3 linked regions of the Bombyx mori genome follow. The protein of the gene in region 1 interacts with the protein of each later gene in a pairwise test. Links are inferred from orthologs where the notes say so. Each region holds a gene or a part of one and is shown in the gene's direction. Other genes may lie near its edges.

What was found.
Region 2: the proteins of replication factor C subunit 1 (region 1) and replication factor C subunit 3 interact in a two-hybrid assay, tested with the Caenorhabditis elegans proteins (3 studies listed by BioGRID). The link is inferred for Bombyx mori from reciprocal best matches to the Caenorhabditis elegans genes rfc-1 and rfc-3.
Region 3: the proteins of replication factor C subunit 1 (region 1) and replication factor C4 interact in a two-hybrid assay, tested with the Caenorhabditis elegans proteins (3 studies listed by BioGRID). The link is inferred for Bombyx mori from reciprocal best matches to the Caenorhabditis elegans genes rfc-1 and rfc-4.

The regions. Positions count from the first base shown.
Region 1 is NC_085121.1:15,073,879-15,078,244, reverse strand, and holds the start of replication factor C subunit 1, read left to right. Parts: upstream 1-1,566; 5' UTR 1,567-1,742; coding exon 1,743-1,751; intron 1,752-2,310; coding exon 2,311-2,421; intron 2,422-3,670; coding exon 3,671-4,364; intron 4,365-4,366.
Region 2 is NC_085129.1:10,045,326-10,048,485, reverse strand, and holds replication factor C subunit 3, read left to right. Parts: upstream 1-1,246; 5' UTR 1,247-1,399; coding exon 1,400-2,467; 3' UTR 2,468-2,560; downstream 2,561-3,160. Other genes in the region: beta-secretase 1, read right to left, coding at 1-27, 579-701.
Region 3 is NC_085121.1:12,205,092-12,209,293, forward strand, and holds the start of replication factor C4, read left to right. Parts: upstream 1-1,317; 5' UTR 1,318-1,619; coding exon 1,620-1,729; intron 1,730-1,797; coding exon 1,798-2,073; intron 2,074-3,880; coding exon 3,881-4,099; intron 4,100-4,202. UniProt on the Caenorhabditis elegans protein: The elongation of primed DNA templates by DNA polymerase delta and epsilon requires the action of the accessory proteins PCNA and activator 1. This subunit may be involved in the elongation of the multiprimed DNA template.

The DNA.
Region 1 (4,366 bases):
TAATGTTAGTAGGTTTTATCGATAAACGTTCTTGGCTCATTTTATTTTAAATATTGTTGAGTACGAATGTATTTGTAGAATTTATACTTTAATAGGAAGTAAGTATATTGTTATGTGCAAAGATGATGTGATTTAGATATTATGTGAAATCTAAGACGAGTTCGTCCTTCAAATTTTCCAAGTAAACGATATGACGATTTTTAAAATTTGCTACACTGATTTTATAAAGTTGTCGTTTGCCGCAAAACATAAAGATATGGCATAGTACAGTGCCATCAGCCCATTTTTAGCATGCTGAATGTTATCGTATTTTGAGTACGTGTTTTTCTTAGACTATTACAATCTATTTTGATTGTTTTGCTGACTCTAAAGTCCGTAACACACTACCGCAGCGCACCCCAAGGAAGGTGCGCCGCACCATTTGAATCACTTTCACTTGAGAGTGATTCAAATTTTAAACTTATCAAGGGACCGCGTGAAAAAAAAAACACCTACAGAACATTTATTCATTATTAAAAACGTCATTCCTTGTGACTTCCTCTCTAAAATCACTTAAGTATTAAATATTTAACGAATTTACAATAGTGTTTTACTCACTGCGAATAAAACTATTTTATTTAAATAGTTCCGAAGAGATTTTGTCGGTAGCCTTTTTCCCGAAATATCTAAACAGAATGTCTAAATATGTTTTGATGACATATTTTAAAGAGGTATTTATGATTAGTGTCATGATCAATAGATTCCGACCGAAAAATGGTGTCCGATTTTTCGGATGAGGGCTCCTTAATGAATTTAAATATATATAGATAATAGTTTTGGGACATCGACTTTCTTGAGATCCTATAAAATACGTTTTAATTATTATTTTTGTATGTTCTAAGCATGATAAATTATGAAATTTTATATAAGCAATCATATTTAATCGATATCAAAGTCAATAATTAATGTACAACCCAAAACAGACGGCCGAACTGACGTGACAATGACATTTGGCGCGCTAAACATGGCGGATTTTCGGCCGCATTAGACGGAGACGGAGATATTTACGTATATTCATGTTTCATTTTATGTACGCACTGAAATACTGTTATATTGTTTTCCTGCGAGTTAAAGTGCTGAGTAAGAACGAGATAGATATATGTTTATGTGTGTGCCTTCAAAATGGGTGCTATTTATATAAGCAATTGTACGTATAGAACAATATGTCGTGTCCCTACTATATAGGTCTATGATAGGTACCTATTTAACTTTGGTTTTTCCTTTGAATACTTTGAGAGCATTCTATGGACTTACTTTTATAAATAAAAATATAAATCACAATCATTATGTATGTATGTTGTAGTAATTTAATCAACCATAAGTGCAGAAGTCCTAAATAAGTAATTGCCTTTTTTCTGAAATTATTTATTAAATTAGTTCGACTTCATGACTTAAACCAGGGAGAGGTATTCATTTTATTAAGTCATAGGATTTTCATTAAAGATAAATTTTATATTAATTTAATCTTCGGTTCAATTTTAAAATATAGGAAATTATTTGATTGTCACTGAAGCTGCTTCAAGCTAACTGTCAAACTCAGTTCAACAGCTGTCCTGTCAATTCTTCATTGAAATTGAATCAAACATAGCTGAACGGTATTTTCCGCGAAAATACACTTATAAATTTATTCAAAAAATCAGATTTCAAATGAACATGATAAAGCTGATAATTCATTAAATTAGAAGACCGTATTAAATAAGAAAATGTCTAAGGTGAAGTAAGAATATATTAATAAGAAATAAAATGGTACTAAAACTAAAAGATGCTCTTCAGCATTTGAGGACCTTGAAGAACTGTAGTGGCCAAATAAGTTTTATATTAAGAATACTTTTCTTCATTATATTCGCTACACTATATTCTCTACACTGATACGCATTTACTTACGATTAATTTAAATTGCTTCGATCATCTGAAGTTTTGAAAAAATGTTGTATTAACTTGGGATTAGATATTACGATTGATGTACATATGAATATAATTATCAGATTGTGTCACGATAACAGATTTTCCAAAATATTGTCGTATATGATTTTTTCACTACTCTAAATATCCAGACTAACATGGGTTTGATTGCTCAAGGCGAATCTGCCGTTGAGTAGTTACCGAGGGGTACAGACATCACAACATTAATGCCGATACCCACATTTTATTGTGTAACAGCTATCCCACACTTCACATATCAAATAGATGACTAATTACCAGTTCATACATAGTACATATCTGAGTGAGTTAAGATTATATGGTACATTCTAAATAAGCATTTAATCATAGGATATAAGATCATTTTTTATCACAACGAAGAAACCTGTAAAGTCCAAGGAAGCAGTTCCTGATGATGATGATATTATTCCTGAATCTCCTGATGTACAAATTAAAAAGAAGGTAATAATCTAAAACTAAAATGAGTGTTTTGTTTGTAGTAGTCGTCTTGGCCTAAAGGATAAGACATCTGGTACATTCATGTTGAGCGATGCAACGGTGTTCGAATCCCGCAGGCCGGTACCAATTTTTCTAATGAAATATGTACTTGACAAATGTCCACGATTGATTTCCACAGTGAAGGAATAACACTGTGTAATAAAAATTAAACCTTCAAAATTATAATTTGTGTAATCACTGGTGGTAGGACTTGTGTGTCCGCACGGTTAGGTACTACCAGCATGCCTATTTCTGCCATGAAGCAGTAATGCGTTTCGGCTTGAAGAATCGGGCAGCTACTATACTGAGACCTTAGAACTCATATCTCGAGGTCAGTGGCAGCATTTCTGCTGTAGTTGCCATGTGCTCCGGTAACCACTTAACACCAGGTGGGCCGTGATCTCGTCCACCAATTTACGCAATACATAAAAAATAGAAAATATATTAGCTAATATTTTTTGTTAGCAATCTCACAACTAGCATCTGAATAGAAGTTTTTGATCTATTTATGGAGTCAATCAATCAGTACTAGAAATTTAAAAATAATGTGGGAAATAATATAACAAGTTTTGTAATTTCATAATACACAATATTAATGAATAGATTTATTGACCGGATGATTTCTTTTTTCTTCAAAAAACAAAAATAAAATTTTCAAATTAATAAAATAACAACTGAAGTACAGTAAAAAAAATGTGAATTAAAAAGTTTTTTTTTTATTTATTGCATAAATAAGTGGACGAGCTCACAGCCCACCTGGTGTTAAGTGGTTACTGGAGCCCATAGACATCCACAACGTAAGTGCGCCACCCACCTTGAGATATAAGTTCTAAGGCCCCAGTATAGTTACACCGGCTGCCCCACCCTTCAAACCGAAACGCATTACTGCTTCACGGCAGAAATAGGTGGTGGTGGACTCACAAGAGGTCCTACCACCATTAATACCAATTCAGTAATACCAACCAATCAAGGTCCAACTAATGTGAAGTATTTACAGGAGCCCTCAGGTCCTACATTTATCACCATCTGCCTTGATATGCAAGGATAAAGTCTCAATTATAATGATTAAAGGGTTGCTCTACCATTAAACTAGAGTAATTGAGAATGACTGCTTCACAATAAAAATAGGCAAGATGATGACCTTTACCAACTCACAAGACACCAACCACATTTTTGTAAGATTTTTAATGATATTAATGTAATGTGCTTTCAGAAAAAAGAAGCAAGGAAGAAAAGAGTTATATTAGATGACTCAGATGATGAAATACAAACGAAAAAACCAAAAAAATCGGAAACACACTTAAATAAAAAAAACAAATCTACTGCAGAATTAAAAGAAGTGAAACCGATAGATTTATTTGGAAATGCACCCATCATAAGAACTGAGCCCATAGTCAAAAAAGAAAAGAACAAAACAGAGTTAGGAATACATTCGGATGATGAATTCGAAAAGAGTCTTCTTGAAATAGATGAGATTGATCATCTAGAAAAAAATAAAAATATTGATTTCACACCCTTAGAAAATGGAAACAATGATAAATCACACGAAAGAAAACTGCAAAAAGAAATGAAACAAAAAGAAAGTATTAAATTAGACAAAGATTCATTACCTTCTTTGAAAGATAAAGAGAAGAAAACAGATAGCTACAATGTTAATAATTTAAAAAACAAAAGCATAATAGATGAAGTTAAGGAAGGTAATAAAAGAAAATTCTCTGAATTTATTGAGACGAACATTAAAGACGAAAATGCTGTTAGCAAAAAAATTAAAATAGAAAAAAAAGATAAAGACGAGAGTTTCAGTTCAAAAGTAGAAAGTGATTTAGAAATGAATTCTTCAGCAATAGATGATGAATCTAGCAAGAAGATAACGAAAAATAGAGGAAATAAGAGTTTAAACGAGTCAGGT
Region 2 (3,160 bases), on another chromosome or scaffold:
GCTACCAGTATCAATTAAAAGGTTTATCTGAAATAAATAAATATTTTATTAGACTAGATGGTCTTCGAATGCATTTTCGTTATGGTCATTTCTTTAATACCATTTTTGAGCAGACTAGCTCAAAACTTACTAAATGATATTTAATATTAAGCCAAGACATGGGATACTGCTGTGCACTTTTATACATAGGCTGAAATCTTAATGACTATGAAAAGTAAAGCTGTGGTTTAAAAATAGCCACAGATGTGTATTTACAAGATGTACCACTCATAGTTCTTATCAATTTACAAAATTTGCTGATTAGTTTAAATATTTGGTTGTTTTTCTTAAATTCTTCACTGATTTCACATCATAAGAAAAAATAGTTATGAATGCTATAATGTGTGATAATTTTACGACCAATTCTTTTTTATATTTAGAAACTGAATTCTTTCATAATAACTGTTTGACTGGTTTACCTACGTCATGAAGTTGCCAGAAAATGGAAATGGCAAATAGAACAAAACTTTATGTTTTGTTGTTTTTTCCGACCCAATTTTGTGTGCTATGGGTAAGAAGATTAATTAATATAGTATTACCTTTTGATGTGGATGTCCCATGATTACCTCAACAGAATAGGCAAGGCCGGCATCTCCTTGCAAATTAAACTGTTCTCCATTCGCACAAATACAATAGAGAAAAATTATTAACAGCTTCGCCATTTCAGCGATCTACGCCATCGAAAAATTGGCTTAATATTTGAACCAGGTTTATCGAAACTAAACCAATGGGTTTGTTAAGGATTTGTTAAAGGTTTTGAGATTTGTAAACAATGTCAATTGTCAAGTCAAGTATCACATATGTCAGATAGGGATAACGATTCAAGATCGACTTCTCACAGAATCGATTTGTTTGAAACCAAAAATTAAGTTTTATTTAAATTAATCGAAAATAATACCAAATAGTATCAAAATTTCGTTTTTTTCTGTATTGATACAAACAAATAATTAGCAATTAATTTTAGTGTAATCAATTAATTTAATTTACACGCATCTGCAAACACGTGTAAATTTTTTTCCTAGTATGAGCTCGTTCACCGATCTTCGAATTAAATAAATCAATAAATTTCTAAAAGCTCAAGTAAATCGAAAATTTAAAAATTTTTAGGAATCGCTTTTTCAAATCGTCTTCTCAGCCTGGTAAATTTTTTAGACTTCGATTTCGAATAATGGCTAACACACTCATAATCTCAAAAAGATCAACACAGGGAAGGAGATTTTGGCGGTATGCCTGTATTTCTTTTGCCTGTACTACAAACAAATTAAGCAATAACAATCAGTAAAAAAGCCGCCGAAACTTGTGACAAATTTGACTTATAAACAAAATTGAAGTTATTTAAAAGTTATAAATTAACTGAAAAATGAGTCTCTGGGTTGATAAACATAGACCAAAAGATTTAATGAAGTTGGATTACCACAAAGAACAAGCTGTACGTCTGAAAAATCTTGTGCAACAAAGTGACTTTCCTCACCTTCTTATTTACGGGCCCTCTGGAGCCGGTAAGAAAACACGAGTTATGTGCTTATTGAGAGAGCTTTATGGATCAGGTGTGGAGCGCTTAAGGCAAGAAACAATGAATTTTACAACACCCTCAAACAAGAAAATCGAAATTATGACAGTTAGCAGTAACTATCACATTGAAGTTAACCCAACCGACGTCGGAATTCATGATCGCGTTGTTATTATGGATTTAGTAAAAAACGTTGCTCAAACTCATCAGATAGATTCAAACGGACAACGTGAATTCAAGGTTGTCATTTTAAATGAAGTAGATGATTTAACCAAGGACGCACAACACGCATTACGTAGAACCATGGAGAAATATGTGGCAACTTGTCGTCTCATACTTATTGCTAATTCTATTTCTAGAGTCATTCCAGCGATAAGATCACGTTGTTTGACGATATCAGTACCTGCACCCACTGAATCTGAAATTGCAACAGTGCTTCAACTTGTTTGTAAAAAGGAATGTCTAAGCTTACCTAATGATTTAGCACTACGTATAGCCAAATCTGCTGATCGTAATTTACGCCGAGCATTACTCATGTGTGAGGCTTGTAAGGTCCAACAATATCCCTTTACACCCGATCAAAAAGTGCCAGAACCGGATTGGCAAACATTCATAAGAGAAACTGCATCAATGATTTTATCAGAACAGTCCCCAAAAAAACTATGTGAAGTACGTCAGAAACTTTATGAACTAATAATACATGGAATACCAACAGAGACTATATTTTCAGGATTACTTAAAGAATTAGTAAGAAATTGTGATATGACTTTAAAATGTCAAGTAGCGAGCTATGCAGCACGATATGAGCACAGGATGCGATTAGGGAATAAGCCAATATTCCACCTTGAAGCTTTTGTTGCTAAATTTATGGCTATTTATAAGAAATTTATGGAAGAATCCTTAGGTGATATGTTTTGAGCAGACTGATTTTTTTTATTATTTGTGTATTAAGTAAAGTGAAAATAATTGTGAATAGCTTTTAATAAAATTAAATTAGTATTGTGACTGTAATTCAAGTAAATCATTTGAAACCTCTGGGTCTGGTGAGAAAAACCTTGGTTCCCTGTGTGGTTATACTCTATGTTCTATAAGTAATCTCTATGTAACCATCACTGATCACTCCATAGAGTTCATACCTACTCGTGGGCTTGCTGTAAACATTAGCTTGGTGCCAGATATAATTTTTGCCATATGTTTTTTGGGTCTGAAATTAGCTTCACTCTAACTTTTCACTACTCTATATCTTCTGAGGGCAATGAAATGCTCTTTTTCAAAAAGTGCTCTCACCAGAAGGCAACCAGTTTGCTGTGAGGACATTTTTGGTGTTTATGAGTACAGTGATCACTTACTATTGAGTGTACTACATGTCAGTTCATGGTAGGAATCCCTAAAAAAAGCGAGTATATAGGTAATCTCAGATCAGATCATAAAGTTGATCTTTCTTAATTCTGTACTGTTAGTAATTAATGATTAGCAGACATCTCTACCCATAATTAAAGAAAAAAAAACTAAATAATAACTAGGCAAAAGTAATGTGAAGCAAACATACATGTATCAAAAAAAGTAATTTTAAAAATTTATGAACTTTTGGCTGCTATAAATGATATTTTA
Region 3 (4,202 bases), about 2.9 Mb from region 1:
AGGTTAGAGTCGAGAAGGAGTTAAAGGTTAGAGTCGAGAAGGAGTTTAGGTTAAAGAGGTCGAGAAGGAGGTTATTAAAGTAAAGAGGTTGAGAAGGCGTTTAAGGTTATTAAAGTAAAGAGGTTGAGAAGGCGTTTAAGGTTATTAAAGTAAAGAGGTTGAGAAGGCGTTTAAGGTTATTAAAGTAAAGAGGTTGAGAAGGCGTTTAAGGTTATTAAAGTAAAGAGGTTGAGAAGGCGTTTAAGGTTATTAAAGTAAAGAGGTTGAGAAGGCGTTTAAGGTTATTAAAGTAAAGAGGTTGAGAAGGCGTTTAAGGTTATTAAAGTAAAGAGGTTGAGAAGGCGTTAAAAGTTTTAAATAAACTTGAAGAGTTTATGTAGGAAGTCGAGAAGGAGTTAGACTATTATAGTTAAGGTTTTATATAGTGAGTCAAGAGAGAAGTTAAGGTTGTATGGTTGAATGAAAGTACATTTTTGATCGAATTGGAGTTGGAGAAGTAAGAAAGGATTAAAGGTAGCGACATTAAAGATAGTATTAAGTTTGAAAGGTTGAATGAATAGTTGATGGTTGAATTGAGAGGGATTATGTAGAAGTGACGGAATGTAAGTGGTTGTGAGGTTTTTTAGGTATGTATGGAAAGAATTAATTTATGAAGGTCAGGTTAGCATTATTCTTTTTTGGTACTAAGTTATAGACGGAGAAAAATGTGTGCAAGTGTTGAGGGGGTGTGTTGGAGTTTGTATATTAAATGTAATGGCAGGCAACACTTGACACTTGATTAGATTTCGAATATTGGAATTATTTTAAATGTTTTAAAAAACAGATCATTGTATTCTCGTAAGAAAATGTCAGTTACTTCTCATCTAGACACGGCATGAAAAACATGTAATAGTTTCATTAAAAAAATATAAAGATAATAATTGTATAATGGTGTAAAAGTGTTCAAGCAATCTGCAATATAATTATAATGAAGCAGTTGTGTTTTTAAATAGCCCCTCATCACCTACAGAACCCAATCCCCTCAAATTTAACCGTCCAACAGTAATTAAAGTAATTATTGTATATAAAGTAAGTATACATAAAAGAACTGAAAGTGAAAATTAAATTGAATATGGTATTAAAGAAAATAAAATAGGTTACTACAATTACGTAGAAATAAAAAACTATATAATAAAACTATTACATGGTTGTTGGACGTAATGAAGTAAAGTTATTTCTTAGTAAAACGGTGGAAATTTACTAAAGCTTCAATGGACTTCAGAGTTGAAGAACACGAGAAGTCACGTCCGGCGATTTAGTTTATTTTACGATACTTCTGCAATTTTGAAGATGCTAGAAAATTAAAAAAATAGCCATTTAAATTCGTTCCAACCTGAAGGAACATTAAACTAATAATACGAAAGAGTTTTCGAAACTTATAATGCTATGTCTAATGTGTTCGTGCCAAAAAGTCTACGTGTATAATTCTAAAAAACGTTAACTTTCTAAAAAACAAGAAAGTGGCTGTATTAACAAGCTCCCCATGCCTGATAAATTCAACTCAAAGCAATTCAACAACAGGTCAAAAAAATTGTGAATTTCAAAATAGTGAAAAGGAAATCAGTAAATACTCTCATAAAATGCAAGCATTTCTTAAGACTGGAAAGATATCTGCAGGAGACAAAGCGTCAACTTCTGGAGTTAAAACTACAAATAAGAAAAAACCTCCAGCTCCATGGGTCGAAAAATAGTAAGTACAGGAATATTACTAAAATCATCTAAATTTAAATTTTGCTGTATCATAATCTTCTTTACCAGTAGACCGAAGACAATAGACGATATAGTGGACCAAGGAGAGGTTGTTCAAGTGCTAAGGGAATGTTTATCCGGTGGAGATCTACCGCATTTACTATTTTATGGACCGCCGGGTACCGGTAAAACGAGTGCCATACTTGCCGCTGCAAAGCAACTCTTCGGAGATATCAGTCGAGACCGCGTGTTGGAATTAAATGCATCCGATGAACGCGGTATACAAGTCGTTAGAGATAAAGTTAAAGCATTTGCCCAGCTTACAGTTAGCGGAAAAAGAGCTGAGTAAGTACTCTGATTTTACCAATAATATTTGTAATATACAGCAGTAATAAGCAGACATAAGTCATAATTTCCTGCCTATTTACCTGATTAAAAAAGGCTGCCATGACCAACTGTAACTGTTAAATGAAATCCTAATGTGTTAATCCTAATTACATTTAGAAATAATAATTTATTAACAACCTTTAATTCGAAAAAAATAAATTACTATTCATTTTATTTTTCGAAACCACTCCATTTTATTAGTAGATGCATACTAGCTTATCTATATCCTTATCAATTATAATAACATACCATGACTAAACTGGTCCTTACTTGAGTGGCAGCCTCAACCACAACTACTCGATTACATGTAATTTTTTCTCCCTTCCTAATCATCCAACTTCACATGGACTGGCAGGTGAGCCCACGGGCTCAACCAGAGGGAATTGCTAACACTAGCCTTAGCAAGAGCAGTGGTTCGCTGAATCTACTACAGGATCGGACTCGCGATCCACTGAGAATATCCAGCGAGAAACTCAGTGGGTTAACAAGTTAACAAATTGATGTTACATTCGTCAAATTGATGTTACATCTGTTCGTATCAATTTAAAACTTTAAAGGGCTTGCAGTTGATGTTACTGAAACCTAATTAATTGCAACAATAAAAAGGACAATTTATTAATTATATTACCTTAGCTTGGGCCCCTAAATAAAAGATGTAATGTATGTAAAGGTGACTTGAAACCCAAATAATATTTTTATTTGTTTTCATGACTTAGACATAATAATTCATATCCTTATTAATAGCGTGATCAATTATGATTTAAATCCTAAGTGAATTATAGAGATTTATATCTCAGAATTTTTATGAATATTATTTTTTTGCTAAATTGGGTGGACGAGTTCACGGTCCACTTGGTTTAAGTGGTAACTGGAGCTCATAAACAGCAACAACATAAATTCCTCCATCCATGAGTTCTAGGTCTCAGTTTTACGGTACAACGGCTGCCACACCTGCAAACCGAAATGCTCTGGTTGGCACTTCAAAGCAAAAAAGGCAAGGGGTCGTAACTATCTGTACGGGCACACAAGACGCCCTACCACCATTAATTACGCAATTTATAATTTTTGCCAGTTTGATTATTATTACCTGATGTTCTTCCATCACCGTCAAAGTCATTCATGAACGTTTCTTAAGTATGTATTTGTCTCTTTTATGTATGTATATTTTGACCAAGATTGTATAATGGTACTGACATAAACCATTATGAGTCTGAGATTGTGAGAGTCAATTGAAAACAATTTGCTTTTTTAGGATTTAGGTCAGTTTGTTACTAAGCATGTGAATGTTCATTAATGTCCAATTTAAATCCCACAACCTTAAACCTTGACACATGAGGTCAAAGTCTTTATACTTATTTGCATATAGTAAGATAATATATTAAAATATTATTTAAAAATTGTCAAACAATATGTGCAAATTCTTAAACAAACTTAGCTCATTGAAGAGCTAAATGTTTCTCTCACCCTTAGAACTGAAATGGGTAACTACATTTTAACAAAATTAACAGGCTGTCTTTATCATGTCATGATTTAATCAAAACGTACCACTAGATTTAAGAATTAAAAATAAGTTGAAAATCCCTAATAATAATAATGGAAGGAATAAAAAAAGGGTGTGTCGTGCTATAAACTTGAGACTAAGAAAATCATTTGGCCCATTTTTTTGAATAAGAGATACATATTTGTGTGTATGTATTATATATACAATGACAAGTGCATGTTTGTATAATCAAGCAATACTGCTAAATATTACATGTTCGTATAGTGGTCGACCATGTCCCTCATACAAACTGGTCATTCTGGATGAAGCAGACTCGATGACTACAGCAGCTCAAGCGGCACTTCGACGCACTATGGAACGCGAGACTCGTACTACACGGTTCTGTCTCATCTGCAACTATGTGTCAAGGATCATACCGCCAATCACGAGTCGCTGTTCAAAATTTCGCTTTAAGCCATTAGCTAGAGAGAATGTTATTAAACGGTAAGAAGTTTGCAAAACCTCCTATTTATTTTGTTCTTTTTACCTTATTTAATTTATTGTATACCATTACAAAATTTACGCTGTGCAAATTAGCCAATAGACA